4 linked regions of the Arabidopsis thaliana genome follow. The protein of the gene in region 2 interacts with the protein of the main gene of each other region in a pairwise test. Each region holds a gene or a part of one and is shown on either strand. Other genes may lie near its edges. The genes, in order: AGL78, AGL97, AGL90 and AGL89.

The links.
Region 1: the proteins of AGL97 (region 2) and AGL78 interact in a two-hybrid assay, tested with the Arabidopsis thaliana proteins (one large-scale study listed by BioGRID).
Region 3: the proteins of AGL97 (region 2) and AGL90 interact in a two-hybrid assay, tested with the Arabidopsis thaliana proteins (one large-scale study listed by BioGRID).
Region 4: the proteins of AGL97 (region 2) and AGL89 interact in a two-hybrid assay, tested with the Arabidopsis thaliana proteins (one large-scale study listed by BioGRID).

The regions. Positions count from the first base shown.
Region 1 is NC_003076.8:26,108,491-26,111,903, reverse strand, and holds AGL78 (AGAMOUS-like 78), read right to left. Parts: upstream 1,579-3,413; coding exon 553-1,578; 3' UTR 501-552; downstream 1-500. Other genes in the region: AT5G65320 (basic helix-loop-helix (bHLH) DNA-binding superfamily protein), read left to right, coding at 3,264-3,413.
Region 2 is NC_003070.9:17,231,635-17,234,612, reverse strand, and holds AGL97 (AGAMOUS-like 97), read left to right. Parts: upstream 1-1,661; 5' UTR 1,662-1,677; coding exon 1,678-2,478; downstream 2,479-2,978. UniProt on the Arabidopsis thaliana protein: Putative transcription factor.
Region 3 is NC_003076.8:9,991,185-9,994,623, forward strand, and holds AGL90 (AGAMOUS-like 90), read right to left. Parts: upstream 1,587-3,439; coding exon 930-1,586; intron 807-929; coding exon 501-806; downstream 1-500. UniProt on the Arabidopsis thaliana protein: Probable transcription factor.
Region 4 is NC_003076.8:9,734,910-9,737,822, reverse strand, and holds AGL89 (AGAMOUS-like 89), read right to left. Parts: upstream 1,299-2,913; 5' UTR 1,173-1,298; coding exon 501-1,172; downstream 1-500. Other genes in the region: CDC20.5 (cell division cycle 20.2, cofactor of APC complex-like protein), read left to right, coding at 1,575-2,913.

The sequences.
Region 1 (3,413 bases), on a different chromosome or scaffold from region 2:
AATGTGATATCGACTTTCTTGATAAAACACAAGGGCTAGTTTAATTGCAGATATTCAATCAGCTCAATCTTTATCTTCTTCCTCATACCATTACTCAGAAACTACACAGAGATTCTTCTTCTGCAAAAAGTCTAGAGGCTTCACGAACTCAGATCCACTCTCCATCTCCTTGTATATATTAGTTGATTCAGACAAGAAGGATACTAAGTTGCAAGAATTAAGGTTTTAAGATTATAATTTGTTTCATGCAAGTTTTTGTGAAAGATTTTTTATGGAAGTTCATATATATATGTCAATACTAACTGAAAAAAGTATCAACTTAAAAGTAAAAACAAAATCTCCACAAATGGATTTGTTTTCTTAACAAAAAAAAAAAACAAATGGATTTGTTTTGCAGTTATAATGACACTATAAAATATTAAAAAAAACAGTAACAGAAGAAATCGGAAGCAGAAACAGCTTCAATCTCTCTCCGATCCGCTTGCTACTTAACTATTGACTGACTCTTAATGAAGCTTCAAAAAAACAAATTCTTTTGGACAGATTTTGTTATCAGAGAAGTCTTGAGTTGCCAGGAAAACAATAACTGCTAGGAATGTTGTGGAGAGGTGGCAGAGAAGATGTCTGTAGCAGACTGCTCGCATCATAGCTTGAAAACATGTCTTGAGAGAAGCTAATGTTACCGACCGCATTACCATAAGGGTTCTGGTTGAAATCAGAAGAGAATTCATGTGGAACCGTGTTTGAGAGATTAGGATGTTGTAGACCGTTGTTGTTGTTGATGATTTCACTCACCATACACATGTTCTGATCAAAACCATGAAGCTGATCCTGTTGCTGCATCAAGTGATTATTCAACCCGTAGTTATTCACTGCAGATGCTTGTACCGAAAGTAACGGTGAGTAGTCTTGTGTGTTTGACACGCCAGGATGTTCAAAGTTGTTGTTGGTGATGTTGTCCGAACACATGTTCTGACCAAAACCATGCTGCATCAAGTGATTCTGGTAATTGATGAGTTGATTGGAGTGTGGAGCAGACAGTGGGAGTTGTGAGAGAGTAGCATCTCCATGGTTGTACATAAACAGCGAGAACTTGCTAGGATTCAAGTGTTGGGTCTGGTTCAGATACGATGGTGTTAAACTCTGATGCACCAAGTTTGTGTTCTGTAGTTTCTGCGCCTCAACAATACGAAGCCTTTCTTGCAGAGTAGAAAGAGTCCGTTCTAAGGACTGAATCAATTGAGAGAGTTGTTGAGGAGAGTAATGATCAAAGTTTGGATACCAATTCTTCTTCAAATTCGTCTTCCCCTTGTCCTTGTCCTTCTCCTTCTCGAGGAACTCATGAAGATTGCGGCTCTTCTTGCGTTTTCTGGCCTCTTTATACCTCAAAGCCATGTCTTTCACTGTCTCTCTCTCCTTAGGCCATGTTCTCAGTTCACCGTCTGGTCCGTAATAGATGACGCAAACCTCAATAGCACAGAGAATCGAAAGCTCTTCAGCTTTCTTGAAGATGGTTTTAAGTCTATTTGTTAAACTTGTTGAATTACGTGACGAAGAAGAAGAAGAAGCTTGCTTCATCGTGACTTTGCCTTGATTCGGCAAGAAACTAGGGTTTTTTCCGAGAGAGAGAACACACGAAGAAGAAGTATTGTCGAATTGAGGGTGAAACATTGTGAACTCAATATGTTTATATAGATGCCTTGGTGCCTACGGGAACAAGCAAACGCGACGCGTCGTTGTTAATCGCGAGGCGTGAAGATCTACGCTCCTACGATTCGATTCGATTTCCAATATCTAATGTAGATTTCCTTAATTAATGTCTCGATGGTAGAGACCAAAAAAAAAGGAAACTTTTAATTAGTTTCTCGATGGTACTTTATTTTAGGCTGTACAAAATTAAGATCTAATTAAAAAAATACTATAGATTTGATTGTGTAATTATTAATTGTGCAACAAAAACTTGGAGGAAAAAGGAAAATCTGTCTCTAAGAAAAAAACTCTTAATTGTTAATTAAGGGTTTTCAAAAAATTGAAGAAAGATTTCAACTCATTTTATTTCTAGGTTTCTTCTATCTTTTTTTTTTTCTTTTTTTTTCAAATTTTTTTTTACGTTATAGTTGTTAATTAAGGGTTTTCAAAAATCTATAAATTGTTTCTCCAATCAGAATGTTGTGAAAAATAACTAACATAAAAACACTCTTCAAATAATTAAAACTAAATGTTCGAAGGGTATATATATACTCACTCTGTTTATTGCAAAATTACCACTGTAAACGCATCACAATTCATATTGTGGAAGATTAATTCTTGTTATATATGTATTAGCTAGTCAAGAAAATACACAATAATTGGGAATGTGGAAGTCGACAAATGTAGTAACCAGCTTGCCTTATTATAGACACAACAATATATATAATAGGGTACAATTAATGTCAGATTGATAACGACGATCCAATAGTGAACCACAAATCACGAATTTTCAACTCACAAATAGACTCGTTTCTTTGTTAGATGAAATGTACCAATCATATAAAACGACATTGTGATTGGCAATCACAAAGAAATATAAATTGTTTATGCCTCATTAAATATATTACTTGAATGGTAAAGTATTAAGATTTGTTTTGCGATCATGAAAGTTAACATTCTTATTTGTTGTGTATATCTCTGAACGTTCTTATTGGATTATGTTATGTGGGATCTGTTGCTGAAGTATCCCTTTAGATTCATTTCATAATCCAATTTTCTTTATTTGATAGTATATTTGATTGCAGTCAATAAATAAATAAACTCCCTATAGATTGTTTTCCATCAATTGTAAGAGTTTTTATTTCTATTTGTAACTGAGGTTTTGAGCAAAAAGTCCATGGTATAAAAAATACCCCTTAGTCAAACATGAGAGATTTCATGACGATATATAAAGCGTAAAATCGGGTAAAATATAAAGTTATAAACTAATTGTTGATCTTAGTATTAAGAATTTATTGCATTCGTTTCTTAATTTATTGCGTAAAATCGGGTTAAAATTAATCAAATGGTTGATCTCTTCAGAGCTAGGGCTTCATTTCTTACATAAACGTCGTGAAAATTTGATTATTAAAGTCCTCCAAAGATTAATAAATTAAAACAAACCAACAAGACCCCATTATAAATACACGCATAAACATTACTTTGTGTAAAAGATAACGTAGCCATTAACTTTTATGCATTAACTCCTTCATTTCTTTTTGTGCTCGTTTGGTTGAGAGAGAGAGAGGCTATATATGATGTTCCAACAAGATTACCCTCATGGCTTTTCACTCGTGGAAACATCCTTAAGTTACGAAATGTTGGATTACTTTCAAAACATCGTCGTTTCGAACTCTGAAGACGTGGCGTCACAGCAAAATTCCATTTCGTCCTCTTCTTATTCA
Region 2 (2,978 bases):
TAATAACAAAGATGAACAATGTGGATTTTGCCAGAATATTTATGGCTGTGAGCTTGTTTCTTCAAGAAGTCTCTACCTTTTAACTTCTCAAAAATCAAGTTTCTTAAACAAGTCTTCAATGCTGAGGATGTCACAGAAGAAGTCTTCAACAAACCTGTAGCCATGTTTTGATCACAGAAGAATCAGTACTTATATGTTTCTAATTGATACAAGATTCTTCTCCAGCAAAACCCTGATTTCTTCTTCCAAATCTCACTTGTTCTTCTTTCAGAATCTTCCATACGAATCTTTGATTCTGTTGTAATTCTCACAATCTCTCTATTTCTCACACTCCTTTACGGTTTCATTGTCTTTAGAGAGAAAGAACAAAAACTATTTTCTTTTAATCTTCTACTTTGATAATATTCTTGGATACTCTTACACAACACAAACAACACATACATATAGTGGTTTTGCTCCACTTGGTAGACTACACACACTTAGACTCTAGACCACATCATTGTCCTAAGACTTACATCATCCACTCTACTATGTTGGAACTCCAACACCTTAATTCACTCTCTTAGTTTACTTTAGTTGTCACAACCTCTTCTTGTTGGACCTTAACTAGACAACTTGTACAAAACACTTATTCGTATGGGCCTTATCTCATTACCTATGACCCAACACACAAAACACAAACCCATTTGGTTTGTTGACTTTCTTCTCTTCCTTTGACTCCTCTCTTCACGACGTCTCTTCTCCGCCATCGTCTTCTTCTTCCGTTGCTTCTTCCTTTGTTCTTCATCTTCTTCTTCTCACCAAGCTTGTTATTCTTGTAGGATTTAGTTTAGGATACTCAATTCCAACAGATTCTCGTAATCTCCATATCTAGATCCTCTTCCGAATCCGTAATCACCAATTCACCATTATCAACCAAAAGCTTGAGTTTTTGTTGTGTATCGGACATTGATTCACCAGCATAAAACAGAGATTCCATACTAGGGTTTGAGATTGTATTCTTCAATACTGTGTCGTCTTCTTCTTCCTCACAAAGTTTGCAATTTTGGTTTTTGGATTCGTAACGGTCACAAAGAGAAGAAGAGAGGCTCCTAAATATTTTGTTGTATTGACGCTTTTACCCTTCATAACGGTCTTATTTTATTGACCGTTGACCAAACCGGTTAAAGGAAGAATTTGCATGTTGGTTTACTCGTCCTCCTTCGCTTATTAGACAATCAGTAGTAAACAAATTCACCGACTAAACCAAAAATTCCACTAAATACAGATTCGGTTTAACTAAACCGGTCTTTGTTTGTATTAGATGGTTTTGAGTAATTTACTTTTAGAAAAGGAAACAGTTTTAATTTTTCGTTTAATTACCGATTAGGGTATTATCAGTAAAAAAGGAAATCAAAATCGATGTTGTTTCAGGTGGTTTTGTGTACTAATTACTTTCAAAAAAGGAAAACAAGTTTATTTAGTCGTTTAATTACTGATTAGCAATTATCAGAAAAAGGAAATAACATGGATTAATTAGAAAACGAGTTAGGGCTACTAAGTCTATATATATATCTATCTGATTAGAACGAGAGTGAGTCCATTATCATATTCTTCTTTCGCAACAAGCGGCAGCACACAAAACTCTCAAGTCTTGTCTCGTTCTCTTTTGTTTGTGAAACTGAGAAAAAAAACAGAATGGGTGGCGTGAAGAGGAAGATTGCTATAGAGAAGATACAGAACAAAAATCCACGAGCGGTTTCATTCTCCAAACGTCGTAAGGGTCTGTATAGCAAAGCTTCTGAACTTTGTCTTCTCTCGGACGCAGAGATTGCGATCATAGCGACTCCTGTTTCTTCTAATTCCAACGCCGCTTTCTACAGTTTTGGCCACTCCTCTGTTGATAATGTCGTCGCTGCTTTTCTCGCCAATCAGCGTCCTTGTGATGAAAGGTTTTGGTGGGAAGATGAGAGTCTTCTAAAATCAGAGAATCTGGAGGAGTTGAGAGAGGCGATGGATTCAATGTCGACTATGTTGCGAGATCTCAAGGAGTTGGAGAAGCAAAGAGATCATCAAACGCAAACCCTAATTCATCAGCCGTGTTCTGCAAGGGTTTGCATTCAAGATTATGTAACTGTGAATTTCGATGGGTTTAACACGGAAGAGCAAACCCTAGCGGTTTCTGACAATAGTAACAACAACGGTTTACTTGGAAACTTGGATGAGTGCAATGAAGATTTTGATGATCTCGATCAAATCTTCGATACGGTGACAAACTCTGAATTTTTATCGGTGAATTTGGAGATGGATGATGTAACTGTGAATTCTGAAGGGAACACGGAAGAGCAAACCCTAGCGGTTTCTGACAATAGCAACAACAACGGTTTACTTGGAAACTTGGATGAGTGCAATGAAGATTTTGATGATCTCGATCAAATCATTGAGTATTTGACAAGCTCTGAAGCTTTATCCATGAATTTAAAGATGGATGATGTCTGATGCATGCCTCTATGGTGACAATTTGTGTTTATGTTGAAATTGGATCCTTGATTTAAGTATTGCTTCGGTTTAGTATATCTTTGTATGTCTTTTATCAGCTTATGACTTTATTTGATCTGCGTGATATTTTCGTATATCTAACCAAAACATAAGAGCATCCCCAACCACAATACACCAAATTTTAACACCAAATTTGATATTTTGGTGTTTCAATTGTTTTATCATCTCCAACCATAACACCAATTTCACACTAAAAATATTACTTTTTATTATAATATTATTAAACTTAAGATTTTCTTTATTTTTTTAATAGTTTGATATACATAACATATTTCATAACTAAATTATTTTAACTTAATTAATATAAGATTACAATCGATAAATTGAAAATAACAAAAAAAAATTACATTGTACTAATTCTCAGAATTAGTATATACGGACCACAAGTGTTCAATTAATGCATTTCGAAGTTTAATATGAGCTTCACGGTCTTTGATTTT
Region 3 (3,439 bases), on a different chromosome or scaffold from region 2:
TAAATCCTAAGAACAAGCACAACCGACTAAACCCAAACATAACGAATAAAACACATGTTAAATCATATTTTCGTAGTGTGAAAAAGGCAAAATCTACAAACTATTCAGAAAAGGGCAAAATCCACAGATACCATCCCAAAAAATGGTAAATCCATAATTGATTCAAAGAATAATATTTCTTACTTCAAATTGCTGGGGAAAACAATTATTCTCTACGTATGGGTCCTAAAAGAATTCAAATGAAAACTTTCGTCTAAATATTGTACCAATCACACATTAAATTTTCGAAATAAATTCCACAGTTAAAGTTTCCCACAATAATCTTTTTTTTTTGGGCAAAACATTACTTAATAATCAAAATACATAATTAAGTTAAAAAGAGACCCTTTAACCATTACAACCATTATTAATAAACAACATTAGTTTTTGTCTTTCGAAATGAAGAAAACACAAATTCAAACAACTGAACACTTAGACTAGAAAATCTCCGTCTTTTGTGATTAGAGATTGTTGTTGATGTAAGGATCATAAACATCGGTGGTTGAAGGCATGTAACTGGTGGAAGCAAGATCAACGGCTGGTAGTTGATTGTAGTTGTAGTAGTTTCTGTCCACGAAAGGAATGCTTTCACGCCCTCCAACATGATTCATATGTTGTTCCACCATCGGATTCATGAATGATTGTTGTTGATTCAGATACTGATTTGAATTCAGATTCAAATTCAGATTCAAATTTATGTTGTAGAATTCTCGTTGAATCTGATTAAACAGATTATTAGGAGCCTGGTATTGAACCTGATTCATATTCTGATTTTGATAAAAATCACAAACGTTAGTAGGAACAAGGTGTTGAAACGGTTCATGCAGATTTTGACTCATATTCATATTTTCATATTGAATATGATCAGAAAATCGACTGGGAGCAGTTACCGCATTTGCGTCCGCATCAAGAAAAGGAGTCATATCGCCCGCAAGAACATGAGGATTGGTAGCATTAGGAGTATCTACAACCCTAGTTGTAGAATGAATAGGAGAGTCGGAAAACGACTCATCACCAATTTCGTCAACACCAATTCTAGTAGGAAAAGGAGAGACGGAAGACAACAACGACTCACCGTTTTCTTTAATGGACTCGATCCTTCCGTTAAGCTGATCGAGATATAGATTCATACAAGATAGCAAATCTTGAAGGTCTTTTGCATCATAACGATACTGGGACATTTTGCCTTCAACACAATCAAACATAAATCGTCTAACCTGTAATTCTCGGTTCTCAGCAGCCAAATTCTTTAGTTGCTCTTTTGCTTTGGTAATCCTCTCCATAAGATGGGTTTCTTGATCCATCATCTTCCTGGTTCGGGCTGTCCGCGGCATCTCCAGAAACTTTGAAGCTACCTTTTTAGCACCTTCCCTTGACGGCCATGACTCTGGAACCGGTATGAATGGACTATAGATGAGAGCACAAGCTTGGACACCACATAGAGTTGACAACTCGTGGAGTTTCTTGAATATCCCGTTTTTCCTCTTCATGAAGGATGTTTTCCTTGATCTTTCATTAGCTATCAAAGATAGCTTTACCTTCTTCATCCCCATCAATATGTTTTTTTGTTTTGTTTTGTGTGGTTTGTTTAATTTGTTTACTCAAAGAATGTTTATATAGCAAAGAAAGATGATTTTATAGTCACTAGGATTCTTATCACTTTGGTGGACTCATTAATTCTAAATAACATCCAGGAAATCTCTTATCAATTAATTGACCAGGTAATTCATTATTATCTATATAAAAATATTTTTTCTTATCTAAAGTTTGGCTCGTCTGATCCTAAATAATATCTGATGACAAAAAAAAGAAAAAAATCTATCCATGTAATATGAGGGGGCATGTAATATAATATTTTTATTTCTAAGTTTTGTTTATACTAAGAATTAATTTCTCTTACTCTCATTGTTTTTTTTTACTAAGAATAATTTCTAGCTTACTTTGTTCTTAGAATGTGAAGTTTTGTAATAGTTTTAAGTGATTGTACTTTTAAAATACAGTAATATATTGTCAATGTATATAGAATTGTGGTAAGCTAGAAATTACTCTAAAGTTTGTTATCTAAAGTAAATTTCAGAAAGTTTGTTATCTACAGTAATTTAAAGATGTACTTTGAATCATACAAATAAATTTTTAGAATGGGCAAACAATTTGAAAATATGCAAAGAACATCTCACATAAACGCCAAAAACTTTGAATAATTGTTATGAATGCCCTTTCAACACTATCCTTTTCAATAATGCATTTTCTTATTTGTTATTTTCATTTATACTTTCTCTTAATTTTTAATGACCATTTTACCCCTATTTAGAAAATGTTTTAAGTAAAAAATGAAATATTAATTTTTTCCCGCCAAAAATATTCTGAAAATAAATTTTCCGCCAAAAGTTTCCGGCCAAAAAATTTTAAAAAAAACTTTTCTGCCAAAAAGGTTTCTTAAAAACATTTTTTCCGCAAAAAAAAATTATAAAGGATTTTAAGAGATTTTTGAAATGAGATTTTAAAGGGTTTTAAAAGATTTACAAGGGATTTTAAAAGATTTTTAAAAAAGGTGTAAAAGAGTTTTAAAAGATTAGGGATTTTAAGAGATTTTTATAAAGTGTAAAAGGTTTTTAAAAGATTTACAAAAGATTTTAAAATATTTTTAAAGGGTTTTAAAAGATTTACAAGTGATTTTAAAACATTTTAAAAAGGTTTTAAAAGATTTACAAGGGTTTTTAAAAGATTAAAAAAGATTTTTAAAAGAATTTTAAAATATTTTTAAAGAATTTTAAAATGGTTTAAAAATTATTAAAGGGTTTACAAGAAATTGAAAAGATTTTTAATGGTTTACAAGGGTTTTAAAGGACTTACAAGGGTTTTTAAAATATTTTGTAAGAGGTTCATAAGAGTTTTAAAATGGTTCAAAATTTATTAAGGGGTTTTAAAAGATTTTTAAATTGTTTACAAGGGTTTTAAAGGATTTACAAGGGTTTTTAAAAGATTTACAAATGTTTTTAAAATCCTTTTAAATCCTTTAAAAATTCTTGTAAATCTTTTAAAATCATTGTAAAAGGTTTTAAAATGTAAAACAAAGGTTTTAAAATGGGTTTTTAAGTATTTACATATATATTTAAAAACTTTATAAAGATTTTAATAGGTTTTAAAATGATTCACAAGGGTTTTTAACAAATTTACAAAGCTTTTAAAACACTTTATAAGGATTTTTAAATGCATGTTTTTAGCTGGAAAAAAATTTGTTACAGAGAAAAAACTTTGGCGGGAAAAAAAACTTTTAGCGGGAAAATTTCAGTTTATAAATTACTTGTTCTCATTAGATGAGAGTAATTTGGTATTTTTGCTCAAGAGAATGAGTATTTTTAAAAATGGACTACATATAAGGATAAAATCAAGAGTTTAA
Region 4 (2,913 bases), on a different chromosome or scaffold from region 2:
TCCTCCGGATACACTTTACTTAAGCTTGTACAAACATGAATCAAAAGACCTATGATAAGCTAGGAGGCACGTGTGGTAGCTCAAACGGATTCGTTGAGGCTCGTGAATAAGCAAAGAGAAGCAGAGAAGGCACGTGAAAACAGAGCAAGAAGAAACAGATTGTTTAACCACTAGCTTGAGAGTCTAGTGAGTTGTATATAAATAGATAGAAGGTTATTGCACAAGTTATGCATGTATTGATGTGTGTGTAACAAACCATAGAGGAGAGTTAGGAGATCTCTTGAACAAATCTCCATTGTTAGGGCTTGGAAGAATTTTAATCGGAAAATCACAAGGCATTGTAATCTGGAAATTCACCATTGGCTTCTAAATCCAACAAAGCCAACTAATTGACTCAGACAAAAATTGAATTGAGAATAGCATTCATAATGATAATACTTAGGAAAAACATACAATTCAACACAAACTCTTAATCAGACAATTAAAACTCATAATCTAAACTAGAAACAGATCGAGTCAGGGACTTGATAGAAGCTTCCGCTGTCATGGTTATAGACAAAGACTGAATATTTGCTCTGATGGTTACTCAATGGTGACGTCGATAGGTCTTGCTCTGTGTTTGACACACCAGTCACCAATGGTTCTGTCCATTGTTGATGATGATGATCCTCAGGAGAAGACAATGGATTCGTTGTGGAAGAAACCGCACGGCTCTGACCTAGCTCGGTCTGGTTCTCGGGTTGGAGTAACAGAAGCTTATCTTGTAATACCCGTAGACCACTTTCTAGCGAATCCTTCATCTCTAAGACTTTCTCCGACAATTTATTGTCGTCGAGGATCTTTTTACGTAGAAACAGAGAAAGGTTTGTTCTTTTCTTGCGTCGCTCTCTCTCGTGTAGTTTGCTAAACCTCTCAGCCATGTCTCGAACCTTGGATTGATCTTCCGGCCATGTCTTGATGAGTTCTCCGTCACGACCATAATATATGACACAGACTTCGATGTCGCACAGAGTTGAAAGCTCCAAGGCTTTCTTAAACATGGTCTCTTCTCTCATAGACAAATTCGTGGTCTTTTTTGCAGTAGAAGAAGAAGAAAGAGACGATTTCTTGAAACAAGTTTGGTTTCTCACAGACAATTTGGTTTTCTTCTTCGTCGACATTGAAGAATCCATTGTTGTTGTTTACACGGTGAAAGAAAGAAGCTTTAGTTTCTTGCAAAGAGAAAATAAAGTCAGAGAATTGGGATTAGGGTTTATATTGAATTTGTTAAATTCGATTTCCATATTTATTTCATTTTTCTTCAGTAACTGTAATGAAAATCTTTTATTTATTTTTAACGGAAATCTGAATTAGATCCGATTTCCATTTTACTAATATCTAACCGTTGTACGTAATTGACAATTTCTATGTAATGAATTAAAGAAAGCAAAAAACCCTAAAATTGCCACAATCTTCCTTCACTATTCGCTATTCGCTCTCTGTCTCTCTGCTTTGAATCTACTTTACGTTTCCTTCTTCGCAGGTTTTATTTGTCTCTTTGTCATATTTCGTTTAGTCTTCTTCTAATCACAGTTATGATGAACACTTCTTCACATTTAAAGGCACAAGCTTCGTGTCCACTTGTAGAACACTTTCTCCGTCGGAAACTTTCCAAGGAAAACTTCGACAGATTCATACCGAATAGATCGGCCATGGATTTCGACTTTGCTAACTACGCTCTTACCCAAGGAAGAAAACGTAATGTCGATGAGGTAACTTCAGCATCAAGAAAAGCCTACATGACGCAATTGGCTGAGGCTATGAATCAGAATCGCACTCGGATTCTCGCTTTCAGAAACAAACCTAAAGCTCTGCTTTCTAGTAATCACTCTGATCCTCCTCACCAACAACCTATATCCGTAAAGCCTCGTAGATACATTCCTCAGAATAGTGAGAGAGTCTTGGATGCACCTGGAATTGCGGATGACTTCTACCTTAACTTGTTGGATTGGGGCAGTTCTAATGTCTTAGCCATTGCTTTGGGAGACACTGTTTACTTGTGGGATGCGTCTAGTGGTTCTACATATAAGCTTGTGACCATTGATGAAGAGGAGGGACCTGTCACAAGTATTAACTGGACGCAAGATGGTCTTGATCTGGCAATTGGTCTTGACAACAGTGAAGTCCAGCTTTGGGATTGTGTTTCCAATCGTCAAGTGAGAACACTGAGAGGTGGTCACGAGTCAAGAGTAGGATCATTGGCATGGAACAATCACATTCTAACAACTGGAGGAATGGATGGAAAGATCGTCAACAATGATGTGAGGATCAGATCATCTATTGTTGAAACTTACTTGGGTCACACAGAAGAGGTTTGTGGTCTTAAGTGGTCAGAATCTGGAAAAAAACTAGCAAGTGGTGGTAACGACAATGTAGTACACATTTGGGATCATCGTTCTGTCGCTTCCTCAAACCCAACTAGGCAATGGCTGCATAGGTTTGAGGAACATACAGCTGCAGTGAGAGCTCTTGCTTGGTGCCCTTTCCAAGCGAGTTTGCTTGCAACTGGTGGTGGTGTAGGTGATGGGAAGATTAAGTTCTGGAATACACACACTGGGGCTTGCTTGAATTCAGTAGAAACTGGCTCTCAAGTTTGTTCATTGTTATGGAGCAAAAGTGAAAGAGAGTTGCTTAGCTCACATGGGTTTACACAGAACCAGCTTACACTTTGGAAGTACCCATCTATGGTGAAAATGGCTGAACTCAATGGTCATACATCAAGAGTTCTTTTTATGGCACAGAGTCCGGATGGTTGTACCGTGGCTTCTGCAGCCGGTGACGAGACTCTCAGGCTTTGGAATGTTTTTGGAGAACCACCTAAGACCACCAAGAAAGCTGCTTCAAAAAAATATACGGATCCATTTGCTCATGTGA